Linked DNA regions of Elephas maximus indicus. The protein of the gene in region 1 interacts with the protein of each later gene in a biochemical or structural test. Links are inferred from orthologs where the notes say so. Each region holds a gene or a part of one and is shown on either strand. Other genes may lie near its edges.

The links.
Region 2: the proteins of NPR3 (region 1) and NPPA form a complex in vitro, tested with the Homo sapiens proteins (4 studies listed by BioGRID, with this or other methods). The link is inferred for Elephas maximus indicus from reciprocal best matches to the Homo sapiens genes NPR3 and NPPA.
Region 3: the proteins of NPR3 (region 1) and NPPB form a complex in vitro, tested with the Homo sapiens proteins (4 studies listed by BioGRID, with this or other methods). The link is inferred for Elephas maximus indicus from reciprocal best matches to the Homo sapiens genes NPR3 and NPPB.

Annotation. Positions count from the first base shown.
Region 1 is NC_064820.1:37,835,617-37,842,559, reverse strand, and holds the start of NPR3 (atrial natriuretic peptide receptor 3), read right to left. Parts: upstream 3,020-6,943; 5' UTR 2,497-3,019; coding exon 1,740-2,496; intron 1-1,739. UniProt on the Homo sapiens protein: Receptor for the natriuretic peptide hormones, binding with similar affinities atrial natriuretic peptide NPPA/ANP, brain natriuretic peptide NPPB/BNP, and C-type natriuretic peptide NPPC/CNP.
Region 2 is NC_064821.1:51,713,227-51,719,864, forward strand, and holds NPPA (natriuretic peptides A), read right to left. Parts: upstream 2,370-6,638; 5' UTR 2,148-2,369; coding exon 2,025-2,147; intron 1,903-2,024; coding exon 1,576-1,902; intron 858-1,575; coding exon 846-857; 3' UTR 563-845; downstream 1-562.
Region 3 is NC_064821.1:51,724,865-51,730,652, reverse strand, and holds NPPB (natriuretic peptides B), read left to right. Parts: upstream 1-3,855; coding exon 3,856-3,978; intron 3,979-4,223; coding exon 4,224-4,334; intron 4,335-4,424; coding exon 4,425-4,563; intron 4,564-5,173; coding exon 5,174-5,190; downstream 5,191-5,788.

The DNA.
Region 1 (6,943 bases):
GCTGTCAAGGCAGTGGCGATACAGGCGCATGGGCAAACTGCGGATCTCGCCGGTAGGGGGCTTAGGGCTGACACATCCCCACCCCCAGCCCTCCCCTGGGAACCTCCAACCTCCCAGCTTCCAGCCCCCGATAGCCAAGAGCTGAAGAAGCCAGGTCCGAGGGCTAAAGCAGCGCCAAGTCTGCAGGCGCTGCGGTGACCTTGGTACCGGAATGGTGAAGGGAGTAGATGTGGGTTCCTCGCCCGGGCGTGGCGAGTTCCCAGCCGCCGGACACAAATGCCCTTTTTCATAATCAGTAAAGCCCGGCGCTCCGCCTGCTTGGCTGGCAGAGATTCGGCACAGACAGCCTGGAGTTCGAGTGCTCAAAACTTGGTGGTGCATCCCCAGTGTCCGCACCTCTCTCCTTCTCTGCTCTAAGGGCTGAGTTCACTCCGAGTTCGAGGTGGTCAAGTTGGGGAGGGGGTGGCTGCAGCACCACCCTTGCTGGCGCCTCTGCCCACTCTCACGTATTCCTGAGGCCCCTGGTCTCAGATTGAGCTGTCCCCCAAGGCGAGTCCCCAGGTGCCTGGCCGTGCCACAGTGTGCACCAGGCCCGCGGCGTAACCCGCATGGGAACCGAACGCTGGGAGCCTTGCCGGGAATGTACCGACATTCCAGACGCGTGTGAGCTCCCAGGAAGGCAGAAGCGGGATTTCGCTAGCGCTGTGCTCCCAAACCCGGTTGCCCGGAACCAGAGAAATGCGTGAGGCGGAGGTCTCCACCGCCTTGCCGCAGTCTACTCTGCACTCAAACGGCCGCACTGGGGGCTTCCGCCGTTAAGGGTCCACGACCACCCCCTTCCCCACCTGCTCCTCGTAGCCACAGCTATCAGCCCCGGTCTGGAGCTCTTGGTCGTTGGTCAAGCTTGGGTATTATTCCAAACCCCCACGTACCCACCGATAAAACTTGAGGGGCACGTTGAAGGGAGGTTCAGCGCCCGCTTCTCCAGCAAGAGCTCCACAAAAAGGTTGCTACAGGCGTTTCAGAGCCCGCGACACAGAGCGCGCGGGGGCGGGGGAGGGGGGGAGGCGGCGGGAAGCGAGCGTCTCCTGGGTCCAGACAGAGTAAGACATTTTTGGTGGAAACCACAGAAGCTCATTTATAAGGGGCTACAGGGGCCATGGAAAGGAATGAGGCAGGCGATACAATGAGCCTTTAAAAGAAACCTGGGGTCTGCAGAAAGAAGAAAAAAAAAATCAGCCGAGAAAACCCGGAGATACCGTCTAGCTAAGTGTAGGAACGCGGGCTGCAGCGCGTCTCCCGACGCTGCCGCATAGGAGGGGACGCACGCCGGCCAGGGGTTGGGTAGTAAGTTCTTTGGGCCTCGACATGTTTTCAGACCCTGGCTGTAGCGGGGTACGGGAGTGTCCCTCTAATCGCCAGTCCCACGCCAGAGAAGGGGGAGCGAGGAAGAAAACACCCAGGCGTTTTGACGGCACCTGTCGGACCTGGGCTGGCAGGAGTGACCGGCTCCCACGCCCGTCCCCCAGTCTCCGCGACCTCCCCGGGCCCTCAGCGTGCTCCCTTGGACTGCGGTGGGCGACAGTCAAAGGGCCCAGGGACCGGCCCCCACGCGAGTGCTCTCCGCGAGTCCACAGCCATGGAGCGGGCAGTGTGCCTGCCATGAAGGGTCGGGTGTGTGTGGAGAGCCGCGGAGAGCCGAAGGTTGGGGCCGGGGCTTGGGGCGCGCTCCCTCTCACCTCGCTCGCTGGCCTGGATGTAGCGCATCAGGTCGTCCAGGTCCAAATCTTTGGTCTCGTCAAAACTGTAGGCGGACGTGTGCAAGCCCTCCTCCTGAAAGACCTCGTGGACCCCCTCGAGGGTGAAATAGCAGTTCCGCTCCAGCTTGTCGTCGCTGTAAACCAGCGCCGCGCGGCTCCACTGGTGGTGGCGGAACAGAGCGAGCAACATCTCGCCCATCTTGGCGTAGGCGGGCGCCACACGCGTGAGGTGCGAGTACTCGGTGTCCTTGTGCTGGAAGCCAGCGGCCAGTGCCCCCGCCGACAGCATGGGTAGGTTCCAGTGCGACGCCAGCCGGGCTACAGGCGCCGCCGCGTACTCGCACACGGGCCCCAGGATGAGATCGGGCTTGGCGCCTTGCGCCGCTGCCACGCGGTCCACCAGGCTGAAGAGCGCGCGGTTACCGCAGTCCGAGTCCTCGTAGGCCACCTGGAAGCGGGTGCCGGGCGGCAATAGCCGCTGCCCGGTCCCGTTGCCCTCCACGCTGCGCAGCGCGTACTCGATGGCCGGTCGTACACGGGCCAGGGAGAACAGGTACGAATCGTCCTGCGGCAGCAGCACCAGCACCTCGATCTTCTGCGGGGGCAGCGCCTCTCCCTCCCGGCGCCCGGGGCCTGGGCCCGCGCCCCCGCGGTCACCGCCACCCGTGGCGCCGGCCAGCACCGCCCAGCCTAGCAGGACGCACGCGGAGAAAGTGAGCACCAGCAGAGACGGCATCGTGCCGCAAGCTAGCGCCTGCCCTGGCCGCCGACTCGCCCTCTGCCCCTCACCCACCCTGCCGCGCCCCTCCCCAATCTTCTCTCCGAGGTCCCTGCGCCCCCTTGGGCGCTATGAGAAAACAGAATTCCCCCCTTCGCTAGCTCGCCAGAAGATAAAGAGGAAGAGTCCTTCTCTGCAATGTCTGTAGTTTAAAAAAAAGAAAAAAGAAAAAGTTCACTGCGTGTAAACCTGTGCTCCTGTAATATCTTTATATACTTATTATAAATATATATATTCGCCCTCCCTGTACATATACTATTTTGCTTAGAAGTGGCTTCTTATTTGGGCGTTGCTGAGATTGCTTTTGAAAGCATATTTGTAAAAGAAAAAAAAGTTAGACTTGTCCAAGTGCTTGTAATTGACGGTGCATCTCCCTCGCGTTTGATCTCATTGATTCGCGCCGGTTCCTGGATCCATAGCCCGCGTTTAAATAGCGTGGCAGCGGCGGAGCGTGTTGCCACACAGGGCGCGCCGAGGCCGGACTTGTATTTCCAGCGGGTGGGGTGTTGGGGGTGGGAAGAGGTGGGGGGCTGGGCTGGGGGAGCCTCTCATTAACATTCTTACATCAAGGCTCCTCCCCGCACCCCTACCCTTCTCACTGCCCTCCCCACTCCCCGACACAAACACACCAGCGACCTTACGCCCTGCTCCCCTGCAGCCCTGTTCTTTTCCTTAAAGCCGCAACCGCCCAAGTCTGCGCCGAGAGAAGCCCCCAACGCCGCGCGCTACCACGATCGCCACCTCTCCGCTGCCCCGCGTGCGGCAGCCCACTCTGCAGCTCCCTGCCTTAAAAAAGAAAATATGTTTGGAAGTAAAGAAATGTTCTCGCCGTACCCACACACACTGTGCCAAAAAAAAAAAAAAGGATTGGGGAAGGGGTGGTTCTAGAAATAGGTGGTTTCCGTGCAAAAATTCCTAAGTCCCGGTCGCTCTCACCTCTTTCTAGCGCTGACCACATTGGCTCCTGACGCGCCGACTCCGAAAAGGCACCCGACCATCTCGGTCTCCCGGCGCAAGGTCAGCAAGCGGAGTCCAAGGCTCCAGTGCAGACGACTCACCGACCTGGGACACCGACCGCGCGGGGCTGACAAGGGCGGACCCCACACCTCCCTCTCTCCGGCTCCCGCCCCCTCCTTTCGGTCGCGGGGTTTCGCTCTGGTTTGGCAGCGGTGCCAGGGTGCCGGGGCCCCTGCGAACAGACTCTCCGCTAGAGCAGTTCCAGCGGGAAAATGAAAATTGTTCCCAAAGGAGTGGCCGCTAGCGAGCGGTTCGGCTTCTGGAGGTGACAAAAAACTTGAAAGGTATCCCCAAGACATCTTCGGGACTTTGGTTGCTACATCAGGTAACTAAATAAAAGGACCGTCTCCCCACAAGTTTCCCCCTAGGGTCGCCTGGGTGCGGCGCAGCTTCTCTCCAGCCCGCGCCCTGGGAAATCCAACCGTTTCTCCCTCCTTAGGGACGCGCGAGACGCTGTGCTCGATGTTCGGCGATGCCAGGAAAGGTCCTGCCTCCGAGACCCAGTCCTGCCACTGGTCGCAGTCACAGCAGCAGTACAGACAAGGATAGAAACAGTCGCGGAAAAGCCTGTGGCCAGAGGCTCCTCGCCGGAATCCGCTGCGCGGTGGAGCAGGTCTTAATGGAACTTGACCGTCTCAGTGTGGTGATACACCGAGGCTATTTGCAATGTGAACGTGCTACATTGGACGGAAGAATTTACACACTTAAGTCTGGCAAATTAAAATAAATTGAAAATGTTTTAAAATGTTCTTTCCTTTGCCTGGGCTTCGGTGTCCACAAATTTCAGAAAGTCTTAGACCAACGCCCTCTTTCGGCAGAAACGTGCACCCGACTCTTAACCCGGGTGCCACAGCCCCCAGGCGCTGCGTTTTTTAACTCAGGAGCCCTGAAGAGCTCTCGCTTTCATGTGTGACCTTAAGAAAGCAAATCGGGGTTTCGGGGGATGTGCGAGGTTTAGACATCGGCCCTCGCCGCTGTTACTAGCACCCTCCTCAGGTCTCTTTCTGGTACCGCAAATTAATTCTGGGTGCAGCTTCAGCCTCTGGGTCGTTTTGATTTCAGATTATACACTGTGATCCCTGAGTCTTCACTGTAAATTGTTGTTGTTAGTTGCAGTGGAACCTCATCCGACTCATGGACACCCCGTGTGTGCAGAGTAGAACTACTCCGTAGGGTTTTCAAGGCTGTGACCTTTCCCAAGCAGATCACCAGGCCTGTCGTTCCAGGCGCCTCTGGGTGGGTTTGAACTGCCAACCTGTCGCCTAGTAGTGGAGAACTTAAGCCCTTGTGCCACCCAGCTTCTAATTCCTGCCAGGACTTTTACTTAATTAGAGCTGCTAAGAAGCATCAGTTAAAAGTTTAATTCTACGAACTGGATAATCCACAGACTCTGGCAATCGAGAGCCTCGCAGCAATTGAATCCTTCCTGAATCCCTTAGAGGAGGGCAGGCATTTTATGGGATCATAGATTTAAAAAAAGAACAAGGGCTAAATTCCTAATTCCAGAAGTCTTAATGGATTTCAAATCTGGTTGCCAGGAGACGCAAAGGAACACGGGGTTTCCTATTTCTCCCCGGAATGCCCTGTGTCTCCAACGCGAGCCAAAGGCGATATAATTCTGCACAGTGTGTGGTGTGGGCTTTTGCGGAGAGGCTGGGGTTTCAGTGACACCGGGCGTAAATGCCTCTCCCCTCCCAGGCGCTGCCCAGCCTCACCGAAGGTCAGGAGCAGGACAGTGCGTTTACGTTTTGGGTGAGTACCACAGCCTGCCCGAGATCTCTGGGTAGGAGCTCTTCCCGCTTGTGACCTAGAACGCAAACAAGATGAAGCTGTGGAAGCAGAGTCCCCTAACTAGACAGCAAAAAGAGAGCCAGTGCTCAAAATATCCCCACAAAAACGTCCCATGAGCAGAAATGAGGATTGTGGAAGAATATTTTTCAAATAAAAATAAGCACAAAATTATAGGAAGACCCACCAAGGAATATCAGCATATGGCATTTTAATGTCATGGGTTTATTTACTTTGATCAAGCTTGATTTCTAGCAACCAGCTAAAAGTTAGTGTAAATATCACGGCGTTCTAAAATCTTAGGGCTGGAAAAGATCTTAAGTCACTAGGCCTGACACCGCTCACTCTGTAGATAAGGAATTGAGGCCCAATGACTACAAATGACATAGCTAAATACCTCTTCATTGCCTGAGAACATTTTTAATGGGACCGGATTAGAAATAAAGCATGTATCACCTATTATACCACTTATACCACGTAGAAAAGGGTTGAGGAAAAAGCTAACCCTGACCTTAAATAATAGCCTTTTTATATCAACAATTTGTATGTAGCTAAGTTTTGAGAATATACAGCAAAGCATAACTGAAAATTAGTAACAAGTCATAACAGAATTTTTTGTAGCACCATAATCATAAAGATGAACCAAAATAAATAAGATTGAAAAAAAAGGAAAAGAAATAGAAACAACTCATCCCTTAAGCTCAATTTTTATATACTCTTCCTTTCAGTGCTATAAAACACAGGAATGGCGGTGGGGGGGAGGGGAACAGCACTTTTTTTTTAACATTCAAAAGGATGCTAACTGCTTCACTGAGTGCATCCTTTCTGGCTAATATTAGTGAATAATAGTAAAGAAAAATTATGGGGACATTCTGGAAAAGAAAAATAAGATTAGTCAATTGAAACTTAGATGCAATGTTAGCCCTATACATGCTATTCCAGAAACTAATAGGTTTTTTTATAGACTTTAGAAACGACTTCATCAATACACATAAACTATGATTTTCTAACTTTTAGCTACCAAAATAAGGTGGCAAGTTTTCTAGAAAGAACTTTGTTTTCCAACTCTATGAAATGAAACATAGTATCTATATGTCATCCCTCTGTCACCAGGAAAGGCAGCACCATATAGGGAAACTCAACATGTGATAGTACGAAATGTATTAGAAAAGCTATCAGGAAGAGGTTTGCTCCACCAACTGTCATAGGCCATATTTATCTCCTCTCCTCAGAATCCTGGCCACAATCACTAACATAAAAGCCCCTCCAGATTTTCAAGGAGAGCTGCTGCTGCTTCTCCCTTGTCAAGCCAGCCCTGAAGTCACATTTAAGAACATCCCTGGGAAGCCTCTCGCCCACAAAGAAAATACTTCTGGGGACAGAATTGTTGAAAACACACTTCCCCCTAGAGGCAGAAAAGATGAAAGAATATTACACATAATTCAAGAACATTTCTATAATGTAATGAGCACTGAGATTTTCTTTTGAACATATAGTTGCTGTTTTAGAGGGAACCATTGGAGGCGAGAGGGGAAAATCAATGGATGCCCAAAAATTAAATTAAAACTTTGCCTCCAGGTTTTAGCTTTCCTGACCAGTG
Region 2 (6,638 bases), on another chromosome or scaffold:
TTGGGAACTCTATGGGGCAGTTCTACCCTGTCCTATAGGGTTGCTATGAGCCAGGATGGACTTGATGGCAACGAATTTGGTTTGGTTTGGTGGATGTGAGCAAATGCAAACTAAACTTTCTCCTGGGCATTTCTCAGGATCGTGACTGAGGTTAGAACGAAAAGCAGAGCAGGTTGAGAACTGTAGTTTGAGGCCAAAGAAAAAAGGGAGGGAGGGAGGAAGGAAAGAAAAGAGAAAAAAAAACCTGAGCATTCTTCTGACAAAGGGTAAAATGACAAGGAATAAAAAAAGCCTTGTTGCCTTCAAGTCAATTCCAACTCACAGAACAGAGCAGAACTGTCCACATAAGGTTCCCAAGGCTGTAATCTTTATGGAAGCAGACTGCCACATCTTTCTCCCTCAGAGAAGTTGGTGGGTTCGAACCACCAACTGCTGATTTTTCAGTTAGCAGCCATACGCTTAACCACAGCACCACCAGGGCTCCTTTGACAAGGTAAATTGGGCTGGATTCTCTTCCCCTGGAAACGAAAGAAATCACACCAACCCAAGCCATTGGCTTCTGTCCATGGTGCTGACATTTATTCATTTTCAAACCGCTTTCAGTAGCAGGTGGGGTGTATCCTAAAAGTTAATGGCATGGGGGTAGGAGAGGCGGGGGAAGACACAATTAACCCATTTTATCTACAGTTAGCATAAAATATGAGAAACGTTGACCAGAAGCTGCTGCTGGAACAGGTGCTCGTCAACTCGATGGCCATGGGGTAGGACAAGGTTGAGTGAGAGATCCCAGGGGGTGAGGGTCTCGGAGTCTGCCTGGGTCTGGGCCACCTTTTCTTCCCTGGCCATTATCTTCGGTACTACAAAAAGAACACAGACATGTTGGGCTCAGTGACCAGCTCTACAGGAAAAGTCAGCTTTGGATGACAGTGCTACATCTCTGAACTAGACCTCTGACCAGTTACTTCTACCAGCTCCCATGCTCACCCTGATGACTCTCTGAGTTTCAAGAACTGGTAAACAAGTTACTCATTAGCAGCTAGTGAGGGCAGCCCTTGTCAATTTCACTTGATCTTTTGGAATCTTGCAATTCTGGGAAGGAACATGAATGCCAATCAGCAGTACAAAGATGACTTGGGCCTATGAACATTTTAATTTCTCTGTGCTAGTGGCAGTAGGAATGAGCCCTGGTGGTGCCGTGGTTAAGCACTTGGCTGATAACTGAAAGGTCGGCAGTTCGAACTCACCAGCCACTGCGAGGGAAAGCCTGCTTCCATAAAGATTTACAGCCTTGGAAACCCTATAGGACAGTTATACTCTGTCCTATAGGGTTGCTATGAGTCAAAATCCACTTGACAGCAATGGAGAAAAGGGTAGTGGCAGTAGCTGAGGATGATGGCATTTGTCCTGAAGGGCCACCCACCAAGTTAGGGCAGAAATTTCAAAGGGAACAAGCCTTTATGCTGGCTCCTTTCCTGCTGAAAGTGTCCCCTGGTTGTGTTCTTTGACAAGGTTTCAGCTTCAACAAAGCCACAATCTCTTTCCTCCCCACCCCATTTCTACCCCCACTCCTCTTACCCGGAAACTGTTGCAGCCGAGGCCACTCTGGGATCCAATCCTGTCAATCCTGCCCCCGAAGCAGCTGGACCTCCGCAGGCTCCGAGGGGCAGTGAGTAGTGCCCTCAGCTTGTTTTTCAGGAGGGCAGATCTTTCGGAGGAGTCCCAGGGGCCCCTCCCAAGAGCACCCCCATCTCGCTGAGCTGGGCTGACCTCCCTGGTCCAGGGAGGCACCTCAGGCAGGGGGTTGACAGCCACCCCAGCCTCATCATTCTGCTCGTTTAGTACTTGCGGGGGCACGACCTCATCTTCTAAAGGCATCTTGTCCTCCAAATGGTCCAGCAAATTCTTTACAAAAGGAAAATACAGGGAAAGGGAAAGTTCTCATGGGCTCGGAGAAAATCACCAGAAATAGGCACAGTATCAGAAAGCCCCTTGGTCCCAGGCTAAGCCCCCTTTCTTGGCCCTACCTTGAAATCCATCAGGTCTGCATTGGACACGGAGGTGTACACAGGGTTCGCTCTGATTTGACCTGGGAGTTGAAATGCCAGGAAAAGGAGGAAGCACACAGTGATGGTGGAGAAGGAGCCCATGCTGGCGTTGGCCAAGAGCTGGTCTGGTGCTTGCTGCGTCTTCTCCTTCCTCTCTGGGTTCCTTCTCGTGGTCTTCGTCCGTCTCTGCCTACCAGCTGCCCTGAGCCGCCTCCTTTTATAGCCCCCCCAGCTCTCCGAGAGCACAAGAGGGATGGAACCCTCCCCATTCTGTCACTTGCAGCGATAAAGCAGCTGAGTGAGGAGCCAGCAGAAGATGCCCTTTTAAAGTTATCAGCCCAGCAGAGCTTGTCCCAGCCCCTCTGCCTTGAGCAGCCCCAGCAACCCCCCAGACCCTCGGCTACAAGAGCCACATTCTTGCTGATTGGCTTCAAGAGGCTCCCACTTCAAAGGTGTGAGAAGAGCAAAAAAGAGTCCTTGGTTATCTCACAGTGATGCCTCAGGATTCTTTCTCCTCAGCAACAGGACCCATGCAGGGAAGTGAAGGGTGGCGGTTGGCCGGCGCCCAGCTCCCCCAGTTGGTTTGTGGTTCCGCTGGCAGCGGCTCCAAATAAGGGCGGGACAGGAGGAAATGGCAGGCAGCCGGCAGCTCAGGACAAATCAGCCCAGATGCTCAGGCTGGCCTCACACCTGACTCATGAGCAAGCGTGGCAGACCTCCTGCCTCTGTTTGAGACAAGACCGCCCACACTTCTGATAGTCACTCTCAGCAGTCAGGTGAAGAGGGAGCTATTTTTTAGAGTATTAAATCAGCCAGGAACCAAATGTGATGAACGTCTCAAGAATTCAGCTCCCAAATACAAACACCAAGAAAAGCTGGGGGAATCAGTCATTCCTCTTCCAAACTCTGTCTCCTTCCCATCCCCCATGATCCCATCCAAGGTGTCCAGGGAGGTAGGCACTTAGAAGATGCCGGTGTTTTTATTTCTTCACCTCACTGTTTATAGAAGCTCAGACTTGTTGAGTTTGATGCTTGTAATGGCCCCCCACCCTTCCCATGAAAGCTTTGATGGCTGGATACAATGAGGTGGGAGGCAAACCTGATGTACACAGTTTCCGTTAAAACCCACCATGTCCTTCTCCAGGGCCAGCCAAGTGACTGAACCACTTAAGGCCTCAATTTTCCTGAACCCCAAGGACAAATAATAGGCAGCGAGTCTGTCCACATTTAATGAGTGGCCCCCACATTCTAAGTGCTGAACTCGACTTTAGTATACCATTCAATGCAACGCATGTTGCTGTTGTTAGCTGTCATAGAGTTGGCTCCGTCTCATGGCGACCCCATGCACAACAGAAAGAAACATTGCCCATTCCTGCCCCATCTTGATGATCGTTGGTATAGCTGAGTCCATTGTTGTAGCCACTGTATATTTTGGGTGCCTTCCAGTCTAGGGGCTCATCTTCCAGCACTATATTGGACAATATCCTGTTGTCCATGGGGTTTTCATTGGCTCATTTTTGGACATAGATGACCAGGTCTTTCTTCCCACCCTCTTAGTCTGGAAGCTCCACTGAAACCTGTCTGCCATGGATGACTAGGCTGATATTTAAAATACCAGCGACATAGCTTGTAAACAAGCTTAGCATAGCAATATGCAAGTCACCGTTGTACAACACACTGACAGACAGCTGGCAATGCATACTGGAAGAAAAAATACTAAAACTGAAAGGTTGAGAAACCTGCATTGTAGCCCAAAAACAAACCAGTTGCATAAGTTTTTGGGACCCCCATTTCCTCATCTATGAGAAAAATATAAAAAGCTGTCCTGCCCACTTCACAGGGCAGTTGTGAGGCTCAATAGAGCCAGCACTGTGTGAAGTGTGAGATGCTATATAATTGCAAGGGGGTAGTAATGATGGTCTTTTATTGATCAGTTACAATGAGCTGGCACTCTGCTGAGAGCTTGATGTGAATTACTTGATTTTCCTCACCGCTCCCAGGAGGTGGGTAGTATTGTTCCCATTTGCAGAGAGCCAGAACTGAGACTTGGAGAGATTATGTCACTCGCCCAAGGCCATGTCATTTGCCCAATTGGCAGAACCAGGACTTGAGCCCCAGGTTTGATACTTAAGCCCATGATCTTAACCCATTTCACATGGCGGCTCATTAACAAGCCCTTGGGTGCATTTCCTGATTAAATGCCTCCCCCCACACTTGATCTCTCCCATTACCCTGAACATCTCTTGCCTCCTACTGCAGCTGGGCTTGTAGCTTTGTGTGTGGGACAAATCTCTCTGTGTTTGGCTGCTCTCCCCATTTGGATTTTCTTAAAGAAAGGGCTCATCCAGTCCCCATAATCTGTTTACACACCTAATACCAACCAGAATGCTCCTTAGGAGCTAGAATAACAAGACTTCAACTCACTTACTTTGGACATGTCATCAGGAAAGACCAATCACTAGAAAAGGACATCTACTTGATGAAGAACAAGGCCAATGAAAACAAGAGAAACCCTCAATGAGATGGAGTGAGAGAATAATCTCAATAATGGACTCAAACATACCAACGATCATTAAGATGGTGCAGAACCAGGCAATATGTAAGGTCGCCATGAATGGGAGCTGACTCAATGGCAACTAATGACAACATGGAAATTCAGAAAATGTATGTTGAACAACCAGCTCTGTCCTGGCCAAATCCTTCTGCAGCTGCACTTACTCTGTGACCAACCAGGCAGAGAGGCTGTTACACCATGAGAAGACAGGGCATTAGGGCAGTTGGTGGCCAGAGGTCCCCACAGGTGTGCAGAGTGATTTTATTGTAAGACGGAAGGAAAAAGGGATCCTCTTCAGAAAGCTTGGGGGTTTGGGTAACTTATCTGGGTCAGTCAAACTCAACTTGGCATCTGAAATGGGCCACAGTTCTGAGTAGGAGCTCTGGGAACTAAACACCCCCATACCCTGATGCGTCCCCGAAATGTGCTCACAGCATAATTGCTCGGCTGGAAGTTATTATTAGCAGAGAGGATCCAGCCTGCAGCCACGCTGGGGGGAGCTGATGCCGCGTGCGTCACACAGCCTGTCTCCTGGAGATGCCCTTTGAGATAGGCCTTTGATGGAGGAAGACTTCGAGGCCTGCATCAAGGCAGGTGGCCCCTTCTTGATGGCTCGGCCTCTGAGGGCCACGTGGCTGCTCTACCCTGAGTCATTTCTGAAGCCTGTAGGAGACTGTAGGTGGCCCAAGGTGAAGTAGAATCTCATCCAAGATTCCAGAAAGACAATTTCGGAATTTGCTCGCTTCCTTTTATTGCAGTCACTTTTCTGCTCCCAGAGTGAAACTAGAGTGGGACACAAGCATCATTTGTTGAGTTTCTTCTGCTAGTCAAATTTGTGTTTGTGTGTGTGTAAGTTTTATTATTATTATTTTTTTCTAAGACAAAGGACATTCAGGCTTCCTGCCCTGAGGGCTTTCATAGAGCCAGGACTACCACCTCCCAGGGCCCAGCGAAAACAGAAAATCCTCAAAAGCACTGATATCCCCATTAAAGCTTTTGATTTCAGCCTGAAATGGAAAATGGCTTGACATAACATTTCTCTTCACTTCCATGCCCTGCTCAACTTCGGGGTGTGTGTGGAGAGGTGGAGGAAGGGGTGTTTGGAAGCCAGTCTGTAGGAGTGAGAGAGAGAAAAAAGCAAAAGACGCAAAAAATCAGATCCACCCTCCACCCCTACCTCTCTAGCTGAAAAATCGCAAGTGTTTATTTCTTTATCACAGGCAAGAAGTTGTCTTAGTCAAATGAGAGAATGAGCAGTGCGGATGGGTAGGAGAACCCAGAGTCTGGGCGTCTCCAGTTGCTAGACCAGAGCTTGGTCTCACAACCTTCCATGGGAATGTGGGGGCTGCTGCAGGGAGCACACGTGGGCAGAACTAGCAGGAAAAACCCATCTCAGTCATAACATGATTCTGTCAGACCCAGATAGTCTAAAGCAGAAGCCCCAGTTGGGAGAAACTGTTAGGACGCCGTTGCATACTTAGGGACGGTTGTTTCTGAGTTTGAAGGTGCTGTTCTTTTTCTTGCATACAATATGGACTCACTGGGGACTGGAAGCCCAGGGCAGGTCCCAAAGTAGAACAAGGAAATAGAGAAAGCTACTTCCTCAGCTGGATAGTGACTACCATGAGAGCAGTGATTCAGCCTGGTTCACTGCCCACCTTCCCTAGGAAACAAAGCCCAAGGCAAAAGCTCACTTACTGCAGCTTTATAGGGGTTCCAATTCAAGGTAAGAAGGCATTGGTAGTTCAGTGGTAGAATTCTTACCTGCCATGTTGGAGGTTTGATTCTCAGCCAATGCACCTCATGTGCAGCCACCACCTGTCTCTCAGTGGAGGCTTGCATGTTGCTATGGTGCTGAATAGGTTTCAACAGAGCTTCCAGACTAAGATAGACTAGGAAGACAGGCTTGGCAATCTACCTCTGAAAATCAGCCAGTGAAAACCCTGTGGATCACAATGGTCCAATCCACAACTGATCATGGGGATGGTGCAGGACTGGGATTGTTTCATTTAGTTGTGAATAGAATAGAACAAAAGTCA
Region 3 (5,788 bases), on another chromosome or scaffold:
TGGTAGCCCGGCATCATCTAGTTGTACTGGACTCAGTCTGGTGGAGGTCGTGGTAGATGTGGTCCATTAGTCCTTTGGACTAACCTTTCCCTTATGTCTTTAGTTTTCTTCATTCTTCCTTGCTCCCGAAGGGGTGATACCAGTGGAGTATCCTAGATGGCCGCTCACAGGCTTTTAAGACCCTAGACACTACACACCAAAGTAGAATGTAGAACATATTCTTTATAAACTCTGTAGCAAGCAGGCAATCTTGACCCTCACTCCACCACAGGTTGGCCAGTTTAGCAAATAGGAATACACGACATCTGGTTAAATTTGAATTTCAGGTAAACAACAGATACTCTTTTAGTATGAGTAAGCCCCAGCTGGAGCACAGAATTGGAGGTGCTGGTGTGCTCCTCACAGGTGTGCAGCAGGAAGTGTACAGGTACAGGAAGCCCCAGGACAGCAGCCCCCGGCAGATGCTTGTTAATGCCAGTCTAGGCAGAAGGAGAGGATGGGTTAAGTAGGGAACCCTAGAATGGGAAGGGCCAGGGGCCAAGCCTGTCCAGGGTCTGCTCCTACCTGCGAAGTCAGCTGCTGCCCCAGGATCAGCCTGTGTGGGCCACACAGCATCTCTCCAGGGACTCCTGTACCTGGCTTTTCTGTGTCCCTGGAACCCAAACTGGTCCTTTAGTTGGTGGGCCTGTGCCACCCAAATCAGGCTTAGCCTGGGCCAAGCCAGGTGGCCCGATCAGGCCTGTGGAGGTCAAGTGTAGCATCACTGTGGTCTTGCCCCCACCCCATAGGACACTGGGGGCAGACCCCAGCTCCCTGCTGAACTAGCAGCAACAGAGAATGATTGTCACATCTCATTTCCAGGTTGGTGGCTCTGAGCTGAGATGTGCCCTTAACCTTTCCTTCGCCAGGAAGGAGGTGAGTTGCCTGTGGGTTGAGCTACCACTGTCACCGCAACAGCCTTTACTGAGGGCTTACTATGTGCCAGGTACTATGCTCAGCATTTTACATAGACCGTATTAGTTTCCTATTGCTGCTGTAACAAGTTGCCACCAACTTAGTGGCTTAAAACAACACGAATTTATCTTACAGTTCTGATGACCCGAAGTTTGAAATCAGTTTCAATGGGCTAAAATCAAGGTGTTCCTTTTGGAGATGCTAGGAGAGAATCCATTTCCTTGCTATTTCTAGCTTCTAGATACCACCTGCAATCCTAGGCTGGTGGCCTCTTCCTTCATCTTCAAAACCAGCAGCGTGGCATCTTCTCTCCTCTCTGACCTCTGCTTCTATTCGTATGTCTTCTCTCAATGATTTTGATCCTTTTGCCTCCGTCTTATAAGGATCCTTGTGATTACATTGGGCCCAGCGAGATAATCCAGGATAACTCCCCATCTTGAGATTCTTAAGCACATTTGCAAAGTCCCTTTTACCATGTAAGGTTAACATAATCATAAATTCCAGGGATTAGGATTTGGACACCTTTGGGGGAATGTTACTGAGCCTGCCACATGTACCATCTAATTTAATCCTTGTACAGTAATGCTATGACATATGTGATATCATTACCCTCAATTAATAGAGCTGGAAAGTGTATGGCATACAGTAGGCACACTCAGTATTAAGTTCAGTGTCTTCTCTAAAATCTTCCACAATCCCCTTCACTGGGATGGCTCCTTCCTGGCCTGATGGGGCAGGTGGAGGCTCTGTCAGAGTGTTTAGCACTTAATTGTTTCCCCTGGAGTTACTCTGTCTTCTCAGCAATATCACAAATCCTTTGGTGTAGGGACCAACTCTCACACATATTTCTAATTATTTGGTTCTTTTCACACTGCCAAAGTCTTTTACAGACATCATTTTCTCACTTTTATTTATCTTCCAAGGATGCAGAGCACCATTATACCCAATTTGCAGAAGAGAAAAGTAAGGTTCAGGCTAGATAGTGTCAGTGCTTGAGAGGTGCTGGTTGGCTGCTGTCTTTCTCCCGACCCTTCCCTTCATGATGCCCAATGTGAGGGACCCTCTACACTCTTTGCAGTTCCCAGTCCTCTACTCAGCTCTTCACTTTGTTGGATTCTGTTGCCTCCCCTCTATTCTCAGTGAATCTTTGGATATTCCTCTTGTGGTATGCATGTGCACACACACACACACTGGCCCAGCCCCTAGAACCTCCTAACCCTTCCCCCTCTCCCATCCTCATCTGTAAAACACTCATCTTACCCACAGTTAACATCCTTCCCCTGCACACACAGCCACCAGACTCACCCCACCCCCTCTAGCACAGCTCCCTATACCTTCACAGATGACAATGAATTAATTTTTTTTCTAGTAGAAACCCTTTGCAGTCACCCTAGCAGTGATTAAGAGCTTCAGGTCTGGAATCAGACTGCCTGGATTGGAATCCGGGCTTCACCACTTGTCAATTGTGTGGCCTTAAGAAAGGTGATAAATTCCTCTGAGTTGTTTCTTCATCTGAAAAGTGGGAATATCAGTATTCTTTCCTACTTAACACTTGGCAACTGCTTTTTTTAGGCAAGAGTTGCTTAGGGGCCCAAGCTTCTTGCTGCCCTTCCCCCCATCTGTCATAACTTATCTTCCTTCCTGTACAGCCCTATACATTCACCCTGCTTCTTGTTAACATAAATTCTCTGGAAGGGTGTTGACATTAGTCATGCACACTTTAGGGGAGGTTTAAGCAGCTGTTTCTCTTCCCAGAGCCAATTTTTGGAGCCCTATTTCTGATTACAGGTGGCAAGTCCACCTGTGCTCCCATCTGCTAATGGGAATTAGGTAATGAATAATCATATGGAGGAGGAATTGGGGGGGACTCTCCATACACCTTGTCCCACCAAATAGATAACCATCCTTCCACCCATCACCTCTTTTTCCATCATGTGTCTTGGTTGGTGGAGGAGAGGAGGTGTTGGCAACTGGAGGACCAGCGATAGAAGGCATTCCTGGATGACTTCATCTCAGGGGCCTTGCCTCTCAAAATTCCAGCCGAATCAGCTCTACCCTTTAAGGGATAGAAGAAAGGTCAACATTCCAGAAGTTCCTTGTCATACCCAGGCATTTAATTAGATGATATTGGGGGGGTCAGCATCCCAGTGCTGTAAGGCTCGAGGGGAGTGGGAGTAAGACGGTGAGAAGGGGTCTTAGAGATCTCTTGCCCCTGCCCCGTGCAGGTCTTTCTGGGCGGGAAACCCCATGAGAACCAGACTTCATGAGTAGAGTTTGAGCAAAGTTCGAGGTCAGCACCACGGACAGCGGTCGGCGCTCCGGTACTCGCAGCCGGGCTGGGCGTAGGAACTCCGGCGAATTGCTGAGTTACAGGCGGGAGGGGAGGTGGGGGAGATGTCCGGTGTTTGGCGTTGTTCTCACTCTGAGTCACCGTGCTCCCCGCGCTAGCGTCGAACTTTAGGATGCTGGAGTTCTTCCTACCCTCTCCAGGAATGCTTGGGGGTGGAGAGCGGAGGAGATGGAGCCATGCCTTGGCCCTTGGATTTTTGCAGGAAAGAAAGAATCAGGAGAGACAAGGAACCTGTTGGTGTCCACCACGAGTTCCCGTCCGGGCCCTGCCCATTTCTGTACAAGGCCTGTCCTCCCCAGCCTCCACCCCCAGGGAGTACTAGTACCAGACCCTGAAGGGAGCATGCCTGGGCCCTGAGATCAGCGGGTCGGAATGCAGCTGATAAAGCACAGATAACCCAGGAGGGCAGGACAGACCCTGCTCCCAGCACGGGGATAAAAGGCTGTGGTTGCCCAGGAAGCCAGGAGAGCGCCTGTGGACCTCAACAGGTGGGACTGCAACCGGGGCTCTGAGCAGCCACAGCAGCAGTAACCCCCGCCTGGCTCTTCGACATGGACCAGACCGCGCTGACCCGGGCACTTCTGCTCCTCCTGTTCCTGCACCTGTCGCCTCCGGGAGGTCATTCCCACCCTCTAGGTGGCCCTGACCTGGACTTGGAACTGCCCGGGTTACAGGTGAGCACTGCGAAACTGTAGATACAGCCAGCTGGGAGAGTGTTCCTGTAGCAGCAAAGAACTGGTCCACACCTCTTGTTCCAAGGAATCCCCACCTTCCTGTGGGAGTTAGTGAAAAAGGAATCAGGAAGCAGTGAGACTGGGTGCTAGGACACCCTACCCAAGCAGTTGGTTCACATGTGCTCCATGGAGGGGGTGCTGAGGGAGTGGGGGTTACTGAGGCTCGGGCTCCCCACCCATCACAGAAGCTGTTGGACCATTTGCAGGACACGGTCTCTGAGGTGCAGACGGAGCCAGTGATCCTGGAGCCCGTCCAGCAGGGCCATAGCCCTGTCGAAGCCGGGGAGGCCCAGGAGGTCACGGTCTCTGAGGTGCAGACGGAGCCAGTGATCCTGGAGCCCCTCCAGCAGGGCCATGGCCCTGTCGAAGCCGGGGAGGCCCAGGAGGTATCCCCGATGGGTGTCCCCCAGCCTCAAATCCCTGAGGCCCAGGGGAGACTACCCAGCCCCAAGATGATGAGCGATTCTGGCTGCTTTGGGGGGAAGATGGACCGCATTGGCTTCCACAGCCGCCTGCGCTGCAATGGTGAGTCCCCAACTTAGCACTCAACAGGAATGCTGCACACCCACCCCATTCTTACACTGTCCACACTTCCATACACTTCTGGGTTTTTTGTTTCTGGGGGCCACCAAAAAACCCAAACCAAACCCGTTGCTGTAGAGTGGATTCTGACCCATAACAACCCTATGGGGGCCACAGTCTTTGCAAAAAGGGCACCTGGACACATCACTCCCTCTTGCTGAGACCTTAGGGTCAAGGGGTGCCTTTCTAGAAATATTAAATACGGGCACCATTCATTGCCATCCTCATGAGCCCCACCCACCTCTCATCATCTCTCTTACCAAAAGGGGCAGAATTAACTTAGAGTGGACCCCATTCATTGTCTGGCAGCCCCTATCTGGAAGGGCCCCAGATATCCTTTCTCCTGGTTTTCTCAGGGCTACTATTACACCCACTTTACAGATGAAGAAAATGAGGCCCACCCACAGAGATCAATTGTTCCAAGGCTTCAAACATCAAAATCAGCCAAGGGCTGGGGGTGGGTGGCAGGGACGGGACATGGTGAGGGGACACTCAGATCCTGCCTCAGTCTTCTAGCCTAAAGATATAATCACTCTCTCTCTTCTCCCCACAGTGCTGGGGAGCCCTTAAGAGGAAGTCCTGGCCTCAGGCATCTGCCTCTGATCCTCCAGCTGGTCTTTCCCCAACCCTGTGATCCCCTTCAATGACTCCTATTTATTTATCTTTATTTATTTGGTTATTTTACAAAGATGGTTTCTTACTTTTGAGCACACGATTTCCATGGAGAAATAAAGTCAACATTATAGTGTTATCTTTTGAAACTAATTTGTCTCTGGGCATTAAAAGAATAATTTCCAAAAAACAGAACAAAACCCTGTGTTTTCTTGAAGGCGTCTTGATGGTGAGGTGGGGACACTAGCCTTAAGGGCTGGTTAAGCTGGGTGGGAGGGTGTCTTTCTTTAAGGGTTTTTCACGCTCTGAAATGTCTACAAACATCTCAAGCACTTGAGACACTTGGCAGAAACTGCTTTTCAAAGCAGGGCCGTTTCTTCCTGGGAGAGAAATGGGCACGACAGATTCACACAACAGAGTCACACAAGTGAGGGTGTATGTCCGCAAGTCTGCCCCACTAGTCAGCCCTTTGCCCGGAGTTCCACCATTAGAGGTACTCTCCTTGGTGACTGTTGTTTCCAGAAGGTCTAAGCTAAAATGGCAGAGATTGGGAACA